Linked DNA regions of Caenorhabditis elegans. The protein of the gene in region 2 interacts with the protein of the main gene of each other region in a pairwise test. Each region holds a gene or a part of one and is shown on either strand. Other genes may lie near its edges.

What was found.
Region 1: the proteins of sup-37 (region 2) and sup-35 interact in a two-hybrid assay, tested with the Caenorhabditis elegans proteins (2 studies listed by BioGRID).

What each region holds. Positions count from the first base shown.
Region 1 is NC_003281.10:11,114,129-11,122,311, reverse strand, and holds sup-35 (Regulator of microtubule dynamics protein 1), read left to right. Parts: upstream 1-3,085; 5' UTR 3,086-3,112; coding exon 3,113-3,171; intron 3,172-3,215; coding exon 3,216-3,365; intron 3,366-3,408; coding exon 3,409-3,526; intron 3,527-3,827; exon of another isoform or gene 3,828-3,951; intron 3,952-4,354; coding exon 4,355-4,423; intron 4,424-4,474; coding exon 4,475-5,077; 3' UTR 5,078-6,089; coding exon of another isoform or gene 6,090-6,161; 3' UTR 6,162-6,558; downstream 6,559-8,183. Other genes in the region: Y48A6C.4 (Pre-rRNA-processing protein Ipi1 N-terminal domain-containing protein), read right to left, coding at 742-862, 913-1,020, 1,726-1,894, 1,939-2,192, 2,240-2,358, 2,404-2,509.
Region 2 is NC_003283.11:8,783,894-8,793,881, forward strand, and holds sup-37 (C2H2-type domain-containing protein), read left to right. Parts: upstream 1-2,651; 5' UTR 2,652-2,723; intron 2,724-2,946; 5' UTR 2,947-2,954; coding exon 2,955-3,075; intron 3,076-3,295; coding exon 3,296-4,162; intron 4,163-4,306; coding exon 4,307-4,785; intron 4,786-5,121; coding exon of another isoform or gene 5,122-5,214; intron 5,215-5,568; coding exon 5,569-5,676; coding exon of another isoform or gene 5,677-5,754; exon of another isoform or gene 5,755-5,947; coding exon 5,948-6,026; exon of another isoform or gene 6,027-7,034; coding exon 7,035-7,114; intron 7,115-7,271; coding exon 7,272-8,218; intron 8,219-8,329; coding exon 8,330-8,471; 3' UTR 8,472-8,883; downstream 8,884-9,988. Other genes in the region: magu-2 (MAGUK p55 subfamily member 5), read right to left, coding at 9,124-9,255, 9,313-9,474, 9,518-9,720, 9,797-9,988.

The DNA.
Region 1 (8,183 bases), on a different chromosome or scaffold from region 2:
TTTTTTTCCAAAAAAAATCCGGTTTTTCTTCTTTTTTTGAGCATTTTGAGCTCATTTTTATCAAATTTTAATTGAACATTTTCGAATTTTCAGTCTGAAAAATCAGTTAAATGCTCTTAAAATCGTAATTTCAGCTATTTTGAGGGCATTTTTAAACAAAAATTTCTGGATTATACAGAGAAAGTAGGGAAATTCTTGGGTTTTTAAGCTAAAATGCCTGATTTTTCATCAAAATTCCTGATTTTCGACGGAAAATTCGGAGTTACCAATCAATTTTACCGATTTCGGAATATTTTTCAAGCGAAATTGCTGGATTTTCACCTCAAAAATTGTGAAAAATGCATAGAAACGTTGGAAGACAGCTGAAAATTGTAATTTTTCGCTAAAATTTAAGTTTTTCTGCTTTTTTGGAGCATTTTGAGCTCACTTTTATGAAGTTTTATTGAAAATTTTCGATTTTTCAGTCTGAAAATCGGTTAAATGCTTTCAAAATCCCATTTTCAGATTTTTTTGGACATTTTTTTAAACAAATTTAGTGGATTTTCAGCTAAGAGAGAAATTCTTGGGTTTTTAAGCTAAAATGGCCGATTTTTCAGCAAAATTCCTGATTTTCGACGGAAAATTACGAACTGTGATCAATTTTAGCGGTTTCGGAGCAATTTTAAAGCAAATTTCCTGGATTTTCATCGGTTTTCTACTCAAAATTCCCGATTTTTAGCTAAAAATCTGCAAAATCCGTACAAATAATTGGCGCCAGTACATTTGCCAAATTGAGCAAAGCATCCGGCAGCTCAAATGGTGAAACTGCATTGGATTTCGATGAGCTCACAACTCCAAATTCGAATGGGCTCACGTCGGGATTCTGAAATTTATGGAATTTTAGGCTTTTTTACGTGGAAAAATTGCAAAAACCTGCACAAAAACTCGTTTCAAATCACTTTTTCCCTCGATTTTCTCATTTTCGAATCGGATTTCCAGGGTGGAAGGATCCACGTGTCGTTCTCGATTTATATCGTAAATCTGAAAGAAAAAAAAAATATTTTTTCGAAGTTTTTTAGAGTTTTCAGCGAATTTTCAAGCTTTTAAATGAAATAATTACGAGATTTCGTGCATTTTTTCCAGATTTTCACTGAAAAAACTGCAAATTTCGTCAATTTTCAGTATTTTTTCTGAAAAAAAACTAGATGCCAGTGAATTTTCAGCTTTTTTACAATAAAATTGCCATTTTTAACAGGTTTCGGTCAAAATTTTGTGGTTTTTAGTAATTTTTTGGAGTTTTCAACTGAAAATTGCAATTTAAAAAATGTATTTTTCGGATTTTCAGCCAACTTCTAAGATTTTTACTGAAAAATATCAATTTTCTGGGAAATCGCTGAGTTTTCAGCTTTTTTAACCACAAAATTTGAATTTTTCACTAGTTTTCAGTCGAAAATTTGTGTTTTAAACAGAAAGTTCAAGTTTAAAAATTTATTTTTCGGATTTTCAGTCAACTTCCAAGATTTTTACCGAAAGATACAGAATTTAATCCATTTTTTAAGTTTTTTCAGCGCAAAATTGCAATTTTGCTCTGATTCTTGCTGCAAAATCGGATTTTTTATCGATTTTTCTTCATTTTTTTCTGGTTTTTTTGTGTTTTCCAGGACCACACATAAAAATGCAGTTTAAAATCGATTTTCTCGAATTTCTAGTGAATTTTTCGCAATTTCCAGGCAAAAAACTACGAACATTGATGAAATTGAGAATTGTATCGATTAATCCCGGCTTATTCCACGCCAGACGCTTCGAACTGCCCAGATAATTGATAAAACAGGGGAAGAGATCGGCATGATTCCGGCAAAGGCTCGGATATCGATCGAGAAGCACCGAAAGTGTGCTCAGTGCGAGGTGGCGGACTCTGAAAATTCAAAATTTCCCATTTTTCAGAAAAAATCCACTCACTCTGTGACGATATTCGTTAGAGCGCGGAGCACGTGGGACAGGAAAAGTGTGATATGAGCCGACATTGCTTGAATTGAAGCTGTACACAGAATTTTGTAGAGATTCAGTAGATTCTGACGTGTGGAGGGCTCGAAAGAAGCGTCAGCCACGTGCACAGCCACGCAGGGAACCAAAAGCCTCAACTGGACGTTGACAAGATCCGGGCGAGACGTTAAAATCTGTTTTAGTCCTTGAATAGCGTTCATTTTCACTTTCTGAACGAGAATTTATTAATTTTGATCGATATTCAGCGAAAAATTACCGCATTAAAGTGCCCCATCTGCTTGCAGAGCTCATCGAGCGTTAGACCACGGAAACTAAGTGGATTATCATCTGTTTCCACTTTTTCCTCCAACTGAGTCGCCAATACTACTCGTTTTGCTGAAAAAATGAATTAAAATTCGCGAAAATCGGGTGAAAACTCACCTTTGATAGTCGTGTCGGTGGTCGTCGTTTTTTTCAGCTTTTTTCCCACCTTCAGCTTGACTTTTTTGAAATCTTCGTTTTTCCGTGCCTTCTTTTTGGTCACCATCTGCAAAAAATGTTAATTTTCGCGTGTTTCTTGAGAGAATAACAAGAAAAATGCGAAAATGGCAAAGGAAAAAAAAAGAGAGGAGAGACCACGCCTCGGTGAAGTGCAAGTTTCATAGATATTGATTCGAGAGAAAATTATTCCCATAAATAGAAACATCACGCCCAATTTTTAATATTTTCTTTTATTCAGAGTTAAAATAAATTGAAAACCAAATTGTTAAAATTTTTCCCACTATGCTCAAATCAGATCCTTACAATAATTTATAATTATCCTGCGTTCCCGTTTCTGCACACTCATTTATCTCATAATACAGCAACGTCTCCAAAGCAAAAGCGCTCTACTGCGCATAGGAAAAAGGCGCGAATCGAGTGATTTGAATAATTTCGCGGTGTTTTACCGCATTTTATCTTCTTTTTTCTCATTTTTAAACGACGTTTTACTCTTATAAATATTTTTCACGTATTATAGTTTCATATATCTTTCACACATTCGTCCTCCTAAAAAATTTAGTGATTCTGAAGGCTCGTAATTTATATGGCATGAATGTTCTGAAATATTCCTAATTTTTTGAACTTTCAGATTTTTATTTTTGAACATAAAATGGCTCACACTTTTGCGTGCCCACGTGGAGATTGTGGACTTTTTTCGCTTTCCAAACTGTAAGTCAAACATTGTATTGCATAATCACCGGTTTTTGTTTCAGGGACGATCATCTCACTGCGGATCATCATCTGGAACACATGTGTTCAGAGTGCGAAGAGAGCTTTGGCTCTGCAGAAGAGGCCAAAGAGCATACTCTTTTAGCTCACGAAAATGCTCAAACATTCGATGATCCAAAAATTAGAAATACTAGGTATTGTTGTTATCTCAGAGCTAAAATAAATATAATATTTCAGAATTGTAGATTCCATAATTGCAGCAGTGAGAGTATCCGGTGATGTGATTGAAGAATTCAATTCAGTGATCATGCGAGCGGTTATTCGTCATTGGGGAAACACGAGCACGGAAAAGCTGGTAAGGAGCAGATGATAATTTTATTTTATCTGAGAATGCGTTTTGCGCAAAATATCTTGTATCGAAAACTACAGTAACTTTTTCAAAGACTACTGTATCACTAGCGGCGACTTACGGAAATCATTCGATAAAAATTAAAAGAAATCACAAAAATGACAACAACTTGAATTTCGCTGTCACAATTTGATCAGAAAATTACAAATAGCAAGCCAATACATCGACGCCAGTTCTACAGTAGGCAGTTCAGGTTTTTTATACAGTTAAGTATTATATTAAAAGTAAAATATTAAAACTGTCACCTTAAATTTGAATCCAGCCAAGCCCGCGAAAAACTCCGCTCGATTTCGGATGCCGAAAATTGGCTCGAATCGAGAGATATTCGGGAGATGCTGGAATCAAATAAGACCTACTTTCTTTTAGATTTCCGCCGATCACCACAAAAATGAAAAGAGTGGGTAATATATCGCGGCCGACAACCCACGGGTTCCGCGCCTCGCTATAAATTAAGTAAATTAAGCCACGCCCTTCAAAAGCACACCAACTGATAGGGTGTGGCTTAATTGACTTAATTTAGAGCGAGGCGCGGAACCCGTGGGTTGTCGGCCGCCATGTATTACCCACTCTTTTCATTTTTGTGGTGATCGGCGGAAATCTAAAAGAAAGTAGGTCTTATTTGATTCCAGCATCTCCCGAATATCTCTCGATTCGAGCCAATTTTTGGCATCCGAAATCGAGAGGGAATTTTTCACGGGCTTGGCTAAATTCAAATTTGATGTGACAGTTTTAAAATTTTGATACTCTTTTTAACGAAAAATTATTCGATTTCAGATTGCTGTCGTTGATTCTCCAATGATTACTCGTGACTTCTATATCGACTGTTTTGAAGCTTTAAAGATGGTAGACTATTCATTTGTATTTAAACAATGAAATAAAATTCGAAATTTGCAGAGATACGATTCTGGAGAGAAGTCCATCGATCTTCTCTGTCGTTTGGCAAAATTGTGTACAAAAATTGGAAATTTTGTTGAGAAGGAAAAGAGAAAGGACATCATAATCAAAGGAAAGATGTACGCTACCGAAGCCTGGAACACCGATTCGTACAACATCTTGGCTGCTCATTGGGCCGCTGTGATGTCAGGAAAGGCAATCGAATATCTTGAAGGCGATGAAAAGAATCTGGAGATGAGACACTGCAGACAATATCTCGATCGTGCCATCTCTATCCAGGCAGGAAAAAATGCAATGTACAATAATATTCTTGGCCGTTGGGCTCTTTCAGCACTGGAGATTTGGGAGTCTGACCGACAACAGTTAATTCATCATTATGCCACCCCATATGACGCTATCGACGATGCCATTTATCAGTTCAGATCCGCTTTCGATCTCATACCGTATTGGATCGATAATATTGTACACCTGGGCAAAGCGCTTCTTTACAATGAAAACAAAGAAGCCGCCATTGGAATGTTTCAGCTCGCACTCAAAATGGACCCGTCGAACGATATCGAGAAAGAGTTGCTCGCCGACGCCCTTGACTTGTGCTCAATTTGATCCTTCTTTTATTTCCATTTTATTTTCTGTGTCTCATTTTTCCGTTTGCACTTTCCTCCGTTTTTTTATTGTAAAAATTCCGTAAAAATCGGCCCAAAATTCCCATTTTCAGGGGATTCTTGGAGCCCAACTTCTTTTTTTAAAAATTTGGATTTTTAAATTTTTCCCCGATTTTCTATAGGAAATTCCAAAACATTTACTGAAAAATAGAAAAAAAAATGGCCAGATTTCTCGAAAAAATTAAAATTTTTGGAATTTTTCTGATTTTTAGCTAATTTTTTGAAAAAACTGGCTCAAAAATTTTTTTTTGGTATTTTTTAAAGAATTTTTATTTTTAGAAAATCCGTGAAAATTGAGGGAAATTGAGCCAGAAATTTGGTATTTTGGAGCCCAAAATCTGTTAATTTTTATTTTTAAATTTCCACGAATTTTAAGCTAATTTTCTGAAGAAGTTGGCTCAAAATTTCGGTTTTTTGGAATTTATTTTTTTCCTGAATTCCTAGAATTTATAGTGTAGTTGATCCGGAAATTCTATTTTTCTCAAATAATTGAAAATTTTTACTTTCAGAAAATCCCTGAAAATTGAGTGAAATTGAGCTCAAAATTCATATTCTTCTCAAAAAATTGATTTTTCTGTTGAAACTTCCTTGAGAAAATTTCTAGAAGAAGCTGGCTCAAAATTTCGAATTTTTGGAAAGTTTTTGGAATTTTCATAATCAAGTTTTTTTCGAAAAAATTGAAATTCCGCCGAGTTTAAGCTAATTTTTAGAATTTTTCTCAGTTAACGGTTCTTTTCTAGTGAAAAATTCCAAAATTTAGAAATTTAAAAATCCCTTTTCCCCTTATAAATTGCCCCAAACATTTCCGCTTCAACCAATTTTTCAACATTTTTATTCTATATTTAACGGCTATACAAAAAAATCGATAATTTCTCAGGTTTTCACCTCTATTTCCTATCTTGTTCACACGCCTCGGTCCCAAAATTTAATAGATTTTCAGGCCAAAAAAACCAATGGGGTTTTTACAAATTCTTCAAGAATGTCGAGCCGAAGGACTATGGCCAATTGGGCCATCTTGTAATAAGGTGCTGTGAAAAATTTGGAAAAAAATTATTATACATTCGTCGAAAAATTTCATCTCAGTTTAAAGGCGCACACATTTTTTGTACTTTGGGTCTCACCACGATTTCGACTTTTTGAAGCTTAAAATCACTAAAAATTACGTGGATCGTGGCAGGACAAAAAAGTGTTATTATACATTCGCCAAAAAATGCCAGCTGATGAAAGGTGCATGTTTTTTGCAAAAATTGCAAAAAATTACCAATCGAAAAAAAAAACTCATATTTTTCCGATGGGTCTCGCCACGATCTGCGTCTTTTGGATCCTAAAAGAACCCAAAATTATGTGAATCGTGGCGGGACCCAGAAGTGTATGCGCCTTTAAAATAGGAGAGTATATTTTTGAGAATGTGTAATAATTTATTTTTTTGCTTTGAAGAAACTTTTTATCATTTTATGATAATAATAATTTTATTATACATACGTCGAAAAAATGTCATGGCAATTACCTTTAGGTCTCGCCACGATCTACGTCTTTTGGATCCTAGAAGCGTCCAAAATCACGCAATTCGTGACGAGACCCAACAGTGTATGCGTCTTTAAAATAAGCTTGCATAATTGTGGGAATGTATAATAATTTATTATTGTATTTTTTCAATTATTTATTACAAAAAAATGTATCAAAAAATTTTATACAAATCAACAAAAAAAACAAAAACAATTTTTTTCGTGTACTCCACACGGACAACAAACTGTAGTTTTACAACTAAAACGCGCCGTAAATCTACACAAAATCTCTCCGACCCAAAATGGCCTAATTCGGCAAACTCTGCCATTTCGATTCATGAGGGAAGCCAGAATTCCGTGTTTTAACCGAAAATTCCAGAGTCTATCAAAAAATTCCAATTTCACCTTTCTACCGTAGTCCAGCGCGGGAATTCAAAATTCTCACGTTCCACCGGTCTCCCTTATCAATATATATATCATCCTCACGGGGTTCTGGCTCGACCCCCCTCTCGAAAATTTTGGAAAATGGCGGGAAAAAATATTTGATCTCGCAAGAGGAATTTTCACGCAGCGCGTTGAAAAAGTGTATGCATTTGCGCGTGACGGTGTTTGCACAAAATACACCGAGGGGTCGAGCCAGAACCCCGTGCATCCTCCCAATCACTTTCACTGGTTACTTTTTCATTTTACCTTTTTTTTTACGAATTTCCGTTCGCGAAACCAAAAAAAAAATTCCAAAAAAAAGACCGGTGGCTATAATTACAGTACTGCTATTTTCGCATCGCCAAGGGGGTTAGATCAGGGGTGCGCGGCAATTGCCGTACGGCAATCGAATTGTCGGCAATTTCGGCAATTGCCGAAATTGCCGATTGCCGAAAATTTTGAAAACCGGCAATTGTCGAAATTGCCGATTGCCGGAAATTTTCGATTGCCGCGCACCCCTGGGTTAGATGTTCTTCTCTCCTATGTGTGTATATGTGCTATCAGTCGAGTACTGAAAATTGTGCATGATTTTTCAAAAAAAAAAAACCACCCAAGTCTTGACTCCTTTTTTTTCGCTGTTTTTTTCTGGAAAACTCAAAATATTTGTTCTCTATTTTTCAATAATTTTGAAAAATAAACCTTTAAATTGGCTCTCGCCACGATTTTAGCGGGTCTTTTTTTTCAAATTTTCAAATTATATATTTTTTTATTTAACAATTCCAATTTTTACCGATTTTCATTGAAAATTGGCACGGGTTTCTAATTTCCCCCCTGTTTTCAAATGGAAGAGGTGGCCGTGAAAAAAGCGAACCTCGACCGGGGGTCGCGACCGGGAAAACTCAACGAAATTTCGCATTTTCGTTGCTTTTTTCGGTTTCAAAACACGTTTTCGTTTGATTTTGTATTAAATAAAATGCAAAATCGATTGAAAACGTGTTTTGAAACCGAAGAAAGCAACGAAAATGCGAAATTTCGTTAAGTTTTTCCGGTCGCGACCCCCGGTCGAGGTTCGCTTTTTTCACGGCCACCTCTTCCATTTGAAAACAGGGGGAAATTAGA
Region 2 (9,988 bases):
ACTAGAAGGTGATATGACTTCTAAATTTTTTCTAGAAGAAGAATTGGAAATGAAAGGTATAATAATAAACATTCCAACATACCCCAATTCGACACAAAATTAAAATGTTGGATTGTGGTTATGCAACTTTTATTTCTTGTAGTCTGAATAATAATTTCGGTCAACAAAAGAAGACACCATTTTAGATACACGATAACTTCCACCCACTCATCTATCTCCTGTTTTTTTCTAAAAATTTTGGTGACAACCTTCACCACATCATTCATCCACATCTCAATATGTATCACTTTTCCGTATATTCTGCTGGTTTTTCTGTCCTTACCATCGACGCTCTTTTTTCTTTTTCTGTTCCCTTTACTCTTCCCCTTCCTCGTCACCATCGTCCTCGCCTTCTTCTCCATTCGTCTTCTTCTTCTTCACTGACTTCTCCAACAGTATGTGTCTGTATGTTGCGCGACCTCCCGCTATCCTTCTGTACACTCAACGTTCCCGTCTTTCCCGTCAAGTCAGTCAATCCCAATCGGCCGAGAATCTTTGAAGAAGAAGACGAAGACGATGAAAAGAGGACAGACGTTGGAATGTTTATTTTGCTCTCCTCGATACTGACTGACTAGCTGCAAGAAGAATAAGAAGAAGGAGAAGAAGCGGGGTGGGAGAAGAAGAGAGAAGAAGTTGACTCTTTGCTTCTCGCGCGGGAATGAAGAGATGGAGCACATACACCGGCTCTCTTGCTCTTCCGCCCGCGTGCGAGAGAGGCACTTTCCTCCTCACTGTGCTTTTTCTGTGTATTCTCTACAAAGACACTTGACAAATGGAGCGCACCAACTCCGCTTCGAGAAAATCCTACTCCATCTCCGAATAGCTCTGAACCCCCCTCTCAATGGATGTTAGTCTATGTGTGTTCTTCTCGAAGTTGTCATCATCAACGACGAGAAGAACGATTCGTCGACATAACGAAAGAGTGTCTGTTATCATATCAGTGTTGAGGGCATGTTGCACGACTCGTCTCTCGTCCTCCACGATGGCTGGCGGCTGCATCAGAAGTATGTATCAATGAATCGATACCAAAACGAAATAGTGTGCAGCAGGCAGTTTCCTATGTGCATCTGCATCAGGCATCCCACAGCCCCACCATGGAGGGCAGAGGCGCGTGGGGTCTCCGACGCGACGCCGCACATTTGAATATATTCACCTTTGCACCACGTCATTCATCTGTACATGTATTCAACTATATCCTAACTATAAGTTAGATGAAAAAGGCACATAACCGATGTACATTTAACTACGAAACAACACAATTGTTTTGACATTACCTGCTGATACTCTTTGTGATTTTCGATTTGACACTAGTAATAACAGGAAAAATGCCCCAAAAATTGGATCTGAAAACACTGCTCAAGCGAAGCAGTTTAAAAGCAAGAAACTTTTGAAGGATTACTGTAGAAATGTAGTGTTCTAATTATTTATCATCATCCTCCCTCCTCTTCTACTTCTTCTAACTATAAACGTTCATTTGCCTAGCTCTATTCTCATTGACCGTAAACGTACTCAACTCCATTCCGGGACAGTGTCTTTCACTGCGTCTCACCGCTCTGCACACTCTTTATCTCTTGTCTCAAAGCCTCCCGTGTGTGTCTCCATCATCGGCGTCGTCGTTGTTGCCTCCCGCATACATACCCCGACACAAAGCCAACGGCGACGACCGCGATCACTCCGAGACGACTGAGAGGAGGGGGCCCGCCTTCTTCTCCCGGGCGTTTGCCTCTCCTCGGATCGACGTCCAGCTTGTGTCTCCATATTTCTGCGTCTCTCCGCATCTCGCTTTCCGATCGCGCCGTCATCGTCATCAACCGTCGTCGCCGTCTTCTGTGGACACTGTGTGCAGTCTCCACCCGCTCTGTGTGTGCCTGTGTGCGGTCGATCGGTCGTCGTGTGTGTGTCAGTATGTGTGCTTGTGTGTGTGTGCGCTGTATTGTGATGATGGCGGTGGGCTCGGTGCCCCCAATGTCCTCTTCTTCCTCTTCTTCTCGTTGGGACGGCTGCTGCCAACAGACGCAGCCATCTCTTCGAGTCAGAGCGTCAGATGTCTCCTCCGGTTTCTTTCTCTTCTTCTTATTTTCTTCATCCCGGTGATCATCATCATCATAATCACCTCATCACGTCAATACATGTAAAAATCTAGGTTGCTTTTTTCGATTACTGTAGATGTTGTATTCATCTAATAAACAAGAAGTTCCGAAAATGTGAGCTGGTAATTGCTATGAATTGTTTTCTAACTTCTTTTTTTGCCTTCTTCCATCATCGTTTGAAATTTTAAATTGTTCCTCAAGAAAATTTTTATTAGAATATTTCCATTGCAAATTGAATACTGTTATCCTATGCATTTTATCAATTTTGTTTTTAAAAAAAGTTCAACCACTTGCTAAAAAATTTTTTGTATTCAGAAGTGTATCGGCGTGCCGTTTCGCAATTTTGCCGGCTCATAAAACCTCGTCAACCGGGGCGACGCCACTTTCTTTCCTCGTCACCTCCTCTTCTCCGTCATCATCACCCCGTTATCAATTTCTTCTTCTTCTTCTTCCTGACGCTTTGTACGAGCATTCTTTCATTCATCTTCTCCTCTTCCGAATTCTCTCATTTTCTCATTTTTCTTTCAGCGTACCTACACTTCTCATCGTTGCTTTCCTTCTCCACGAGACTCGTCGTGTGATCGTCAACACCAGGTAAGAGGCGCTGCTTCATTTTCTGTTTTTGAAGAATAAGAAGAAGAAGACAGCTCTCCGCGCCGCAAATATCTGTCGCTTTTTCGCTGTCGTTTCGTTCGTTTCGGCGTAGATATTCTCAAAAAAAAAATCGGCGAATCAACATTGAGGAGCAGCAGTGCTCTCTGTCACTGTGCAAACTGTGTGAAGGAAGCTGCGAGCTCTCAACAACTATGTTTTCCAGATCACCTGATGAGCATCAGCGGAGAGGACAACGAGATTATACTGAACGCAAGTCTATCAAATTCTCCCGACCAGTTAGACGTTTTTGAGGAAAGTCGTCGAAATTTTCTCGAGAGTATCAACGCAACAGGTTGGTTTTTTATATTAAAATTATAATACGTCTTCTGGAACAATCTGTTGGAAATGTTTAAATTTGAAAACTATTATACTTTTTCATCACGTTTTTGGGAAAAGTTTCAATTTTTATCAGAATCTTCGGAGAATCTATATTGAAATTAGAAAACAAAAACAACGAGAAACTATTATTATCAATTTACTTCTGGAGAAAACTCTGTATAAATCTTTTTCAGTCTCAATGACCTCCAATGGCTCAAAAAATGGAATCGAGGATATTGCAAATCGTCTGAAACAGAATGGGAACACTACTTCAACATCCTTAACATCCAACAGTGGACTTTATCCAACCGATCCAACCATCATCTCCAACCATACTCCTTCGATGCAATTGAGTTGTGTTGAATGTGGAGTCACAAAAGCTAATTCAGAAGAAATGGAGATTCACATTAAGACAGAACATCTCAAATGGCTTCCATTTCAATGTCCAATGTGTCTCGTAGAACGAGCTTCTGATGCACAAATGAGAGAGCATCTTCATTCATCACATCAGAAAAATATGAGCAAGTTCATTTATGTGGACAATGTGAAAGCAAAACGGAGATTACAAATTCTGATGGACAGTGCATTCTCACTGAATGTCTCGGAACGAGTGAATGCAAAAAATCATCCATCTTCTTCTACATCTGCATCTCCATACTCACCGACAAGTTATCACCGTGGAATGAACTCTTCACCATCTTCCGGAAGAAACACCTCAACTTCGAATGGTAGTGCCACGTCAGCTGCAACTGCGTCGGCTCAAGCTGCTGCTACTGCAATTGTAAATCATCACAAAGAAAAAGAGAAGCAAACGGCTCAAGCTACTGCAGACTTTCTCAAGCTTCTCGATTTTACTGGAATTAATGGAGAAATTGGTGAACATAAAGCACAAAGTTCTTCCACAAGAAGCTCCAGTGGCAGAAAACGTCCCTATGTGCCCACATCTGCCACCGAAGCCATAACAACTATGGAATTGGCTGCTCCGAGTGCGGAATCGTTTTTGGCCAGCTTGAACTCTTTCAGCCATGCCCAGACACCTGAAAATGAGGAAAATGATCACCGTGAGTTTTCAAAAATTGAAGTTTCAAAGTTTCGCTAGTTGATTACTTTCTTGAAAATTACATGACGGTTTTTGAAAAAAAAACAACAAAAAACTCGCATCTTGCTTCGAGAATTTCCAAATTAAAGATTTTTGTTAGTTGCAGCTACATTGTTCTCTGTCGACGATCTCAACATTGACAGCACTTCCACACTCGCAACGCTTTTCGGTGGAGGCGCCCGAAAAACAAAGTATGATGACGGTGAGATGCCACACGATGAAGATCCCTTGTTGGACTCGTTGAATCCAATCTCTGTTCTCGATAACGTCGCCGCTCTCTTTGGCTCCACTCCCGATAGAAGTGTTGAAACGGAAACAAAGAAGACGTCAAGCATTTCGAAAAAGCGTGTGCTCGGAGAATGCTCTAAATGTCAGAAGCCCGTGACTGCTGGAGCCCGACAAATGCACATGTTCTTCCACTTGGCGAAGGATGAACTGATTTTCCGTTTCCGCTGCAAGCATGAGGGATGTAGTGTCGAGCATTACCGTAAAGATCAAATGGAGAATCATCAGTCGAAAGCCCATGGCAGAATTGATCCAGATATGATGGAGGATCGTTCGCTGGAATTGTTTCAAAAGTGTCAGGTTAGTTTGGAATACTCGCATCTGCGCTCTCACCCAATCACTTATCAGTCACTTATTATTTGGTCAATGTTGTAAAACTATATGTTGTAAGCCGTAATTTTATAGTTTTGAATTAGTATTTTATCGAGCTATTACTAGAAGCACATTTTTCAGATTTTTCAGAATGTTAAACATATACATATATCGTTCTTTAAAAGCTTCACACTAATAGAAAACCAAAAGAAATGAGCGCATTTGTGTTGTTATCGTACTAGTAACCAAAAACCAACTCAACCATTCAACTACATTCGAATCAACTTCAACTGAACAAACACACCATCTCTCTATCTCTTCCAGGAGTTAAATCACGAGCTTTTCGTTGCACATCGTCACGGACATCGCGCGAGCCCGCAGTGGACGGGTGGTTCGGCTGATTTGGCCGGCTACCAGGTTGGTGTCGTTTGGTGTTGGTCTCACTTATCTCTATCTTGTAACTATCAATCCTTCGTCTAACCACTCCATCTACTTCTACGTTTGGTGATATGTTCTAATATCTGCATGGTTTTGTGATTTGTGAATGTGTCTGTGAATAAAAATTGGTGGTGAATTAAGTTGACTTTCCATATCAGCCAACTTAATTTATTCCCAATTTAAGTTGCATTTTTTGCTTGGCATGCATCTGTAATTCTTCCACCCTCTCACAAAATGAATATCTTTCAAAAAATACTAGAAAAACAACCATAAACAAAACCTCCCTCCCCAACCTCACTAACCGAGTGAAATCTATGTGCCCGGGTTTTGCAGGATCTCTCCATGGAACTGCTCGGAACTAAAAATGGAACGATACCCGGACCGACTGCCGCAAAAGCTGAAATCGCCTATGCAGCACAACAAGCAGCCAACGCTCAACGGGTAAGATCCAGAGGTCACGGAATATCATCTACTACGTCACAATCTTCAAATCCTGCAAATTCTTTACTTGCTGTGTGATTAATTTTTTCCTCCCGCTCTCTGAAAACTTTCAAAAGTTTTGGGAAGTAATTAGAACTCTAATCTATCCAAACTTTCTAAACAACCTATTGCCTGAGTGTGATATCCTTGTGTTTTCCTATCCATCTTTCCTCCTCCTATTCCTCCTACCTTCTCATCTCTCTATTCTCATTTCCACCTCCACAAATTTCAGAATTCACAAAAGTCGAAACTTCCCGGATTGTCAAGTCTTTGCTCTTCAACCGCAGGCACTGCTGGTAGCACTTCAAACGGTACAGATTTCAAGATAACCATCGGACCGTTGTTGTCTCCGTAAACCGATGTTGTTGTAGTTGTCATGTCAGGAAATGTTCATTAGGAACCTTCTATTTTGTTTGCTTCTCCAATCAGAAAATGGGTGATGAGAAGAAGAGCGCGCCGGTTGTTTCCTCCGATTTGAGTTTTAAAAGTTTGCAAAATTAGTTTTTGCGGTAAAAAATCTTTTGAAAATTGTCTAAAAATCAGTTATGAAAAGTTTGCACAAAATGTGACCGTTACACACCGAAGTTGAGTTCTTATTACCTGTCTGCCCCGTTTTCTTTCTGCTTCATTCATTAACTTTTTTATTTATTTTTCTATACTTTCCCCATGAACTTTCCTGTTATGACAAAAAACGGCGCCCTTCTCCATCTGATCTCCCATTTTTACTAGTGTTCTCTTTAAATCAATATTGTGTAATCGTTGTGGTGAGCCCGGTTATTTTTCTATTTTTCGTTCCGTTTTTTTATCGTGTTGTGACCTGACCCTCCACTTTTTTACCTCATTCTTCATTTTTTTTTCTATTCTCAAAATTTCTCTTCTTCAACTTCTACCCATTTTCATATTTATCATAGTTTCATTCTAGGTTACCCATTTGTGATTTTTCTCAATTTTTCTTGATATTATGGTTTCCCCTATCCCCCCCTAGAGCACAACAAATCCCAGCGATCTTTGAATTTTCGTCTCATTTATTTTTTTTTATTCACAATTCATCTCCTCATTTGGTTGTTACTTTTACAATGTAATTTTTTTATGTGTCCCCTGATTTTTAGATTACTTTGACCAATACCATTGACTTCCTCAATCTCTCTCCCCAACAAATCGGTTGTGAAACAAATCACCAACGCAATAATAAAATATGATACTGAATTTCACAAATTCTCTGAAACAAAAAATTGAGGGAAAATGATCGGCGTTGCTCTAAAATAATCGAATACAACAAGCAGACAACACGAATATTTATAAAATAAATTTTAATTTAGGTTTCGGACCTCTGAAGCTTGTACCAGATGAAGATCATCCACTTCAATGCAGACTTTGTGGAAAAACCATGCAGAATAGAGTGAGTTTTCGGTTGTACTGTTTCAAAAAATACAAAATAAACACTTTTAAAACTGCATTTTAACGCAAATTAATATACCTTTCATATCAACAAATCATAGTAAAAGTTGCACCTTTAACAAATAGACCGGATGTCTTACTAAAAACTTTCGTTTCAGATCCGTGGCTTCCACATTCTGTGGCATATGGCCAAAGATAAAGGAATCAATCGCTACACTTGTAAATACTGCAACTTTGGGCATGATCGCTCCCAATCTGTGCAAGTCCATGGAAAGAAAGAGCATGGAACTGACGATTGTGTCGAGGATCGTATTGGAGAGTATCAAGACGATGTCAAGGAAATGTCCGCGTCCTGTTTCGGAATCTCCTCGCTTTTTGCTCAGGAGAGCAAACGGAAGAACAAATTCCCGGCGGCAGCCCCTCGTGAACACAAAGATCTGGTTTCAATGGTGAGTAGTAGTCACGAAGCTTCACCGGCTGTGCCAGTTGATGAGGAAGCGTCGAATGATAGTGCTATCAAAGAAGAGGAGAAGCCTCTGATTCTTAATGATGAGGAAATGGAAGAGTTGGGAGAAGACGATGAAGTGGAACATGAGCAGGAGCATGAGGACGAAGATGGAGAAGGAGATGAAGATGATGATGGTGAAGGAGAAGAAACAACTCCTATCACTAGCTCAAAGAGCTCCAAGAAAAAATGGCGAAGAGCTTTCAATATTCGATCAAAAAAGTCAAAAAAGCAGAAGGAAGACGCAGTAGTTGCTCGTTCCGTTTCGATTCTTATCGGTGGAGCTCAGTTTTACAAAAAGAAGGTTAATGAATTCTGCTACTGCGAAAAGTGCGGAAAACAGACAAATAGTCGCCTTCCCGAGCACGCTTACACTCATATGGATGGTGTTGAGCTGTACTCTTGCTCGGCGTGTTCTTTTGGAAACCAATGCAAGGAGACTGTAATGAAGCATATGCGCGAGAGTCATCCTTTGTGTGCTGAACGGTGTGTAGACAATCGATTGGGGCATATCAAGGAGATCAAGAAACAGCTCGGCCAATGCTTCCCTGCTTTTTTCATCGATCATCCGTTGCCAACGAGATCTGATATCGAAAAATTGTGAGTTATATTCCACAGAAACATTGATGTTTCAATTTGGAAACATTTACAAGATTAACATTTTTTAAAAACAAACGCAACAATTCAATTTCAACAAATCACAATTTTCAGGCAAATCCTTGCATCCGGTGGAGATCTCAAAATTGGTGGAATTGAGAAATATCTGAAAGAGGAATGTGAAGATGGTGAACCATCTGAAGCTCCTGAAGATGAGGAGATGGAAGAAGATGATGATGGTGTCTCTTCTGATTAAACATGTCAAATAAAATTAGAATTTTTTAGTTTACAAGAAAACCTCCACATAAAAAAATTAGTTAAAAATAGTTTTTATTTCTCCAATAACCTTTTGTTTTTTTTTAAATAATTTATACATTTTCACAACGTCCCAAAAATTAAAAATTCGTGTATATCCGAGGCCTTTAAATTTTCGATTCGATTTCGGTTTCTTTTCTCATTTTTCTTATAATCAATCCTTTGTTTTCAAACATTTCTCATCCCATTGCAATATCTGCTCATACAGTGCCTTTTTACCTGCATTTTCTGGTTTTACTTGTTCATTTCAACAGTGCCTTTTGCAATAATCATCTTTTTCGGATTACCTCATATCTTTTGGATGTAATCAAAAAAAAAACAATTCATCAAAATAAACATTTGCAAACTTGTTTTTAATTATTCATGATTATTCAAAGAAAACAAAATCACAGCTCATAAAATACCCATAGGGGAATGTGTAGAATTAAAAAATCCAAAACAATAAAAGCGTCATAATGGGAATGATCTGATCAATGGGAATTTTAAGAATACAAAGACCGGGGAGAGATGATGACAATTGAAGACTAGATATCGATTTTTATGATTTTGGGAGTACTCGACGAACCGATAATTATGATTTTTTCGATTACAAATTAGCACGCTGTCCATGTAGCCGGCACCCACATTGGCTCCGTATTCACTTTCATTAGAATTTGCTTCAGCTCACGGAATGATTTTTCAAAATCGATGTTGACTATGATTCCATCGAAAAGGTGCCCGTATTTCTGGAAACAGATATTGAATTAATTTCCCTAGATGTGTATTGCCTAAAGTTTACAAACCTGTTCAATACTTTTGCTTTGTGTCAAAATTGCTTTCAACTCATCATCTTTCACTCCAAAAGTTCCTTCAACTTCTCGTTGTCTTCGAAGAATATAAAGTGATGGTGCAGCAATAAATATTATGTATGGTTGAATATCTGGAGATCGAATCGCTCCGAGACTCTGAAATTTGTGATAAAGAATGATAAATGAAAATTAATTTTACCTCAGCTTTCAATGTCATGACACATGTTTTTCCACGTTCAATTACATTAACAACATCCTTCTTGGCTGTTCCGTACCAAAACTTTTGATATTCACCAAATTCGACAAACTTTCCAGATTTGGCATCTTCGTGGAATTTTTGTTTTGATACAAAATGATAGTGAACTCCGTTGAATTCGCCTTCTTTTGGGGTTCGAGAAGTATCTGAAAGTAAGGATCTTCCTAGAAAATTGTCTTACAGAGTTTATATGTATCTTGTGTAACTTGTTTCACAACTCACATGGAACTGGGCAAGCTAACGTTATCCGATCTGATTCCAGAAGACGGTCTCTCAGCTTCAAACATCCAACTCCTTCAGCTCCACAGAGAACAATCGGTCTTCGATGTGTGGCTTTTGGTAGTTCAAGCACAACTTCTTCATAAGTCAGGAAGTCAGAATATACTCCGATTGCTGGAAGATTTTCCTCGTCAG